2 linked regions of the Bombyx mori genome follow. The protein of the gene in region 1 interacts with the protein of each later gene in a pairwise test. Links are inferred from orthologs where the notes say so. Each region holds a gene or a part of one and is shown on either strand. Other genes may lie near its edges.

Region 1 (4,279 bases):
TCGATGAAGCTAGCATAACCTCTCGTGGCTACTAGTAGATAGGAAACATGAAACATACTACATTTTCGTAATACCTAAGTTAAAGCTTTGACATTATTTCAGGATCCTTTCGACGCAGTACTAGTAATGCGTTTGCATACGAAAAAGAAAGAAATCATGGTGGTCCCGGATCCGTCCTTCAACATAATCGTGTTACAGCAAGCGAGACAAAAGATCAAGAAAAATTCTGAAAAGCAATTCATTTCATGATGTTTAAACATTCACGAGTGTTATAAATACTATTTTTTTTGTTGTACAACATAAAATTTAGGTAACTTCTTTATTTTCTAAATAAAAATACCTATTACCTATTGACTTACCTACTTTATCTTACTTGCCTATTCTCAGAATAAGGATTAGATCGTATTAGCAAATAAATTAAATTTGACAAAAACCTGAAAGTTGAAACGCAATTTAACGATCATTTTAAGAAGCATTTTTTAAGCGATTTTATGACCTGGTAACTAAGACCTTTAGGTCATGTCTTATTTTTATTCTTATTCTTCTATCTTATTTTTTATGAAAAATGATAATATGGAGTGAAATGAAATGAAATGGAAATGATTAATTTGAGACATTAATCAACTGGGATGAGATTAAGCAAAATGAGATGAGATGATATGGGATGAAACATAATCTCAGTAAAATGATGGTCATTTACTGAGACTTTTTCAGTGGACTTTTCATAAAATCATGGTCATAAAATCCCTTTAAAAAAAAAGATACTCTTTGGACTTTTTGGTGGGAACGCGAGGAGTGAAGTTGTGTGATTTGTTTTATTTTGTCTATTTAGTGTTTCTTCGGGTTTAAATGTGTATTAATGGTGGTTTATTAACTGTTTAATATCTGTCAAAGTGCACAAATGTGGGTAAATGAAACAAATCCGCTGGACGTAACTTCTCGAGATCCTCCAAAAGTCCACTGAAAAAATCTTAGTAAATGACTACCATTTTACTGAGATTATATTTCATCCCACATCATCTCATTTAATTTCATTTAATTTCATCTCAGTTGATTAACGTCTCAAATTAATTATCTTCATTTCATTTCACTCCATAATATCATTTTTCATAAAAATATGATTAAAATAAGACATGACTTAAAGGTCTCAGTTACCAGGTCATAAAATCCTTTAAAAAAATCTATCAGAACATTAAAAAAATTGAGGCGTCTTCCATAGATTATACTACACATTAGACAACGCGTCTTTTACACAGTACGCGTAATAATTTACATTGAAAACATTGTGTTACATTAATGTAAAAACGGAAATCAAGTAATATTTAGGGCATAATTTGATTTAATCAAAATGGCAGATAAATACGACAAAAATGGGTATAATAGTGGCGATTTTAAAAGAAATACCACACAAGGTAAACCAGAGGAACTCGATCAAAATGGCGAAGAAGGTATCAAAATAAATGAAAAAGCCGGTGAATACATGCGTGAACTACTTAGCGAGAAGATCAAACTCAATAATTCAAAATTTCCACTATCTATGAAGTTAATTGATCAAGGTATGCTAATTCTTCACTACTTACTTATTTAAAAGAATATTTCGTAACTCTTCTTCACTCCTCAATATTTCGACAACAAAAATCATTGTATTGAGAAGAAAATGTTCCATTTAACAAATAAAAATCCCCTATAAAAATTACTAATAACAGTTCATTGACCTCTCAATGTGACAAAACCATTTGAAATAAATTGAAAAAAAAAAACTTTGCCGCCGTATTGATATTTTGAAATTATTGTTACAGAAGTAACAAAAGTACAGGCTAGTGGTCGTATCACCAAGGACTCAAAATATGTGGATGTGTTCCGTGACAAACCAACCAAAGTCACAGTTAAAGTTCTTGTGCCAATTAAGGAACATCCTAAAGTAAGAAAATTGAATCTAATAATAAGTATATCGTTGCAAATAATTGTCTCAAGCTTACAAAAACAAAACTATTATTTCAAATCAACTCTCATCTAAGAGATATTCGTGTAACAGGAGGCCTTGCACTCAATAATATAAATACCAATAACAAATGAGTTGCATAACATCTTTTATATTTTTATGATGATAAATGGATGTGAGCTGCCTAAAATTGATCTTTGGAAAGCTTAAGACACTGGTGTCATTCCTTGTGGTCGAAAATATAAACTGAAATTTTTTCTTGTTTATTTTTAGAATAAGTCTAAGTATATGAGTACAAGTCTAAAAAAATCATCTCATCAATTTCAAGTTTTTGTTCACTGTCAAAATCTAAGTATTGGTGATGATTTGGTGAATAAACATTTATATTTGAAGCAAAATGATTAAACATTTCAGCTTATTAATCTTATTGTTGCATATGTAGCCAGCCCCAAATTATCAAAAAGGTTACCTTTATCAAAGTGACACTTCATTTGACAATACAGTGCATTTGTAATTTAATACATGCATTTTCCAATTGCAGTTCAACTTTGTGGGAAAACTATTAGGTCCAAAAGGAAACACTATGAAGCAATTACAAGAAGACACACTGTGCAAGATGGCTGTACTCGGCAGGGGCTCAATGAGAGACAGGTGCATAACTCTTTAGATTTGGCATTCTCTGTAACCACATTAAGTCAAGATAATCTTTTAATTTCCATTTTAAATAAATGGAAATCTATAATTGCAGCAACAAATCAAGAAAAGACAAAACCTTTGTGCTGGTAAAGTTGTCGTATACTAGGCATGGGGACCGTGTAGGAGGTTAAGACTCTGGCCAGAAAAAAAAAAAGAAAAAATAGTTGCTTAATGGACAACAGAACTATTTAAAACTACTTGTATAGATAAATCAATGACCAAATAACAAGTGAGATACTGTTGTTGTTGTCCTAAGGTACGGCTGGTACTTACAACCCTCACAAGTTGTCTCCACTTCACCCTATCTTGCACTTGCTCTGTAACATCCCTCCAGGTCAGACTGGCAGTCGTCGCCAAGTGTGTACAGGCCAACAAGGTCTTCTCCTGCCATACTGTTGCTACTCAAAAGAGATACTACATAGAAAAATAGTTAAACATGTCTATTACTCATGAAAACTACAACAGACTTATATTCAGTAGTAAATAGATTTATAATAGTACTAGCTGACCCGGCAGACTTTGTAGTGCCTCAATCGATAAAACAAGCAAAAGGAATCCCTCTGATGGGGGACACATCAAAGGAAAAACAAAATTGTTATTTTTATTTAATTTCGAGCATTTTCATATTTATTTACACCTTTTAAACCTTCTCCGGACTTCCACAAATAATTTAAGATCAAAATTAGCAAAATCGGTCCAGCCGTTCTCGAGTTTTAGCAAGACTAACGAACAGCAATTCATTTTTATATATGAGTCGTCTATTATCAAAGGTGGCAATCTGTGCATTTGGACAAAAATTTTTTATTGATATTTCAATACAGATTGATTTGAATATAATCGTCTCCTTCAAAGAATACGGTTCAAAACCTGCATTAAATAAAGGTTAATACTTAACCTGTTATTTGTCTAAGATGTCGTTCAGAAGAGTTTTGTGACTGCCAATGGAATACAAAGTCAATAATTCGTTTTTCTGATTTACCAATAATTGTCCAAAAGTCACATTGCCGGCTTTGATAATAGTCGACTCATATATAGATAAACAAATCAGTATGATTTTCATTTAGGCAAAAAGAAGAAGAACTCCGCCAGTCATTAGACCCTAAGTACTCTCATCTAGCTGACGATCTTCATGTTGAGATATCGGCCATAGCACCACCAGCAGAGGCTCACGCTCGAATTGCATATGCACTTGCAGAAGTCAAAAAATACTTAGTGCCGGATACAAATGAAACTGTATGGATGTCACAGATGAGAGATATAGATGTCAGAGGTAAGTGTCAAAAAACCTTTTTATTATTCTGAAGAAATAGCTTTAGTAAGAATCCTAATGAAGACTAACACACAATATTTCATTGAATATCATAAAGCCTAGTAACCTAAATGACTGCATATTTGTTTTGCCGAATAATCTGTGTTTAATAATTTGTGTATTACATTTTTTCCCAGTTTTACTATTTACATTATTCCATCTAAAGATTGGAAAAATAGCAATCCAATTTTTAATGTACTCTTTAAAGCATAACTAATTAGTAATAAAAATTGAAAATAATTTGACAAACAGATGAGAAAATAGTCATGATGTTTGTTGTACCTCTACTTAATTGAATATGCAATTTCGAAAAGGGCACATCTCTGAAAATG
Region 2 (2,907 bases), on another chromosome or scaffold:
TGATGTTGTCTCTTATGAAGTTCCACATACGATTAACAAAATACTCAACTCTGTACAGAGATCTGAAGACCTTGCTGTTACGAACATAGGTGTAAAGATAGACGAAATACTGAAAGAATCAAATGGAACCATAGACGTCATGATGCCGAATTACAAAGATTTCATTTTTGTTATAAAGCGAGATCTAATTGATAGCATCACAGACAAGCCAACAGCTACTTCGGAAACACAGACTGCATCAGGTAATTTTTAAACAAAATTTTTGTAATATAAGTTTTCAGCCTTATAACTGCTCATGCTTTAAGTAGACTTTAGAATATAAAAAGTGTGCAATTTGGCTGATTTTATCACAGCTCCTTCACTATTCTACACACTTGATTTTTAGATAATATTAAAAATTTGGTTAGCACATACTAAACGTAGAACTTAGAGGAAAAAATTAAATTAATGTTTCAAGTTTTTGTTTTAAATTTACTCTTCTTTCATAATAGACTTTTTGTGTCAAGTAGAAAACACATTCATGATTATTTTAGATTGCATGGCACATCTTATAAACATCACAAAGCATTGCCACTCCTATGAAAACATAAGGTTTAAGTTGCAAAACCACTGACCATTTAATTGAGAGACTACTGCGTATCAGAAATAGGCAGAAAGATAATACTCGCCCCTCTCATATTGCCATACAAAAATTTAACAACCATCACAAGCAAATTTAGTATTATGTATTTATGTCGAGTAAAAATAAAAAAATGTGAATATCCTATTTGCCGTGCAAAAGATATTCAGTCACTGCTGTTTCAAGATTATAACATTTCTTGTACAGACGCTTGAACGTGCTTATGGCCCAGTTGATGATAAAGGACTACCGGTGCCTATAGATATATAAATTTCAGTACTGCCACTCACTGTGACACACGATTTTCTAGTTAACGGTCTGTAGTTTTAATACAAAAGCTATCCTACTCTTTAAATCAAAATACGTGATTGTTTTGCGACAGATATAAGCTGGAGGAAATTTACACAATATTATTCACACAAATTGCTCGTGAACACTTGTTAAGTATACTTGGTAGCTGCATACAGGATCTGAATCCTGGCTTGGAGTCACATACTCCGAGAGTACAGTGTGCGTCTGTTCCGTAAGCTCATGACGACTTCAATTAAACTCAATCTTCCATTTTAATTCTGTAAATAACATAAGAAAATAAGTGGTTAAAATTGCTCAATAAAATAAGGGAGCATGTAAAATTAAATGTGCTATTTAATTATTAAATATTCAATAAACAGCTACAGTATGCATTCGACCATTTCGACTCCCATTTCATTTAGTTTTTTTTAAGTTTGACTGTAGTCAGCTTATGGTCCACCTGAAATTCAATGTGCTGATTTACGTGACCGTATTTTTATCTCAAGGTCAAATGTTTAAAAATTTCAGATCATTCAAACACTAGAAGGCCTTCAGATGATCCACTGAGAATTCCTCCCAGACCCAGACCCGGAGTTAATCCCGATTCACAAGATCTATGGTAAAGAATGCTCGGTTTCGGGGGCTAGTGGCTCATCTTTTGTACCCATAATTAATCTAAGGTTGATAGTATGAGTTCGAAATAATATATTTCTATTACAGTTGTTTGACATAATATGGGTATAAAATAGGTTTATACACGAGCTTGCATTTGGCAGCTGTTGAAGATTTATAGTGTTAGAGCAATATTTTCGCATCAGGTGGAACATAAGGGCCAATTTCTCCTTAAGCCATGACCTTCCTTCGTTCGTGAACCTTGTGTGCGCGTCTTAATAGTTTGCTGTATTGTATATTCTGCTCTATGCTTGCGTAGATTCAGCTGCCAATGATTTTAATCGGGTCGTAATACAACCTCTGTTTTGAAACTGTTCCACGTTTTCATCATTACAGATAAAAATTAATTTAAACTCGTTAATACAGACATAGGATACGATTACAATAAGACCTGATTGTAATATAATTACGGATTTTCCTTTATAACCTCTGAAACAATATTTTTTTATAAAATTTTATACATAAGTATATATCGATATGATCTTTATCATCGCAACTTTTTTAGTAAAAACGTGGAAGAATTTTCAAAATTCGGTCTTAGCTTTAATGCCTCATTTCGATTATCGGGGAAAAGTTCATTTATCACGCATTTTCAGAATTTGCTTCTGTATTTAAAAAAAACTTAGAATACTATGGTTTCTCTGCTTTAATCTAATCTGTTTTTGGTATGCAGCCCCCGGGATGTGTACAAACGAGTTTGCCAGTAGTAAATATTAGTTAAATGAGTGACAATTATTAATTTATTTTTCATACAGGGCAGTTCCTCCTGGCCGTAACGTTGGCCATTCAGATCTCGATCCGTTCTCTCCTTTCGGGGGTGGAATGATATTTAACCCGTTTGCTCCACGTCGAGACATTGAGAACCCAGGCCTGGGTGTTCCAGGTGGATTGCCAAGGTTTGTGTAAAAATCTTACATATCTGAGATTTTTCATTAACAACAAGATGAACAGATGAGCATCTAAATCCGCTCACATGACTATGTCAGTTTACCATCAAAAGGCTGTAAACAATAAGTACTCTTGAAGACCTTCTTTGATTTATTTCATACGCTTCTGGTTGACACAGATACCTTTTACAAAAGTTGAACAACCATGAGCCCATAGAGACCAGATCGTATGTGTTACTGGTGTCCGTTCCCTCAGACCGTATTCGTTTGTATTCTAAGAACGATCACCTTCATTATTCTGAGATATGAATACTTGGAGACAGAAATAGACAGGATTGTGTAAGCCACTAAAGCGGGCTTACAATAACTACACCTACTTTTAGTAAGCACCTCTTATGCAAATCGTATTAAGTCGTCGTGGCCTAAAGGATAAGACGT

The links.
Region 2: the proteins of KH domain-containing, RNA-binding, signal transduction-associated protein 3 (region 1) and proteasome inhibitor PI31 subunit interact in a two-hybrid assay, tested with the Homo sapiens proteins (2 studies listed by BioGRID and IntAct). The link is inferred for Bombyx mori from reciprocal best matches to the Homo sapiens genes KHDRBS3 and PSMF1.

What each region holds. Positions count from the first base shown.
Region 1 is NC_085126.1:9,712,310-9,716,588, reverse strand, and holds the start of KH domain-containing, RNA-binding, signal transduction-associated protein 3, read left to right. Parts: upstream 1-1,186; 5' UTR 1,187-1,348; coding exon 1,349-1,556; intron 1,557-1,799; coding exon 1,800-1,921; intron 1,922-2,483; coding exon 2,484-2,593; intron 2,594-3,702; coding exon 3,703-3,908; intron 3,909-4,279. Other genes in the region: dynein light chain roadblock-type 1, read left to right, coding at 103-249. UniProt on the Homo sapiens protein: RNA-binding protein that plays a role in the regulation of alternative splicing and influences mRNA splice site selection and exon inclusion. Binds preferentially to the 5'-[AU]UAAA-3' motif in vitro.
Region 2 is NC_085111.1:15,245,425-15,248,331, forward strand, and holds part of proteasome inhibitor PI31 subunit, read left to right. Parts: intron 1-58; coding exon 59-242; intron 243-1,438; coding exon 1,439-1,529; intron 1,530-2,337; coding exon 2,338-2,478; intron 2,479-2,907. UniProt on the Homo sapiens protein: Plays an important role in control of proteasome function. Inhibits the hydrolysis of protein and peptide substrates by the 20S proteasome. Also inhibits the activation of the proteasome by the proteasome regulatory proteins PA700 and PA28.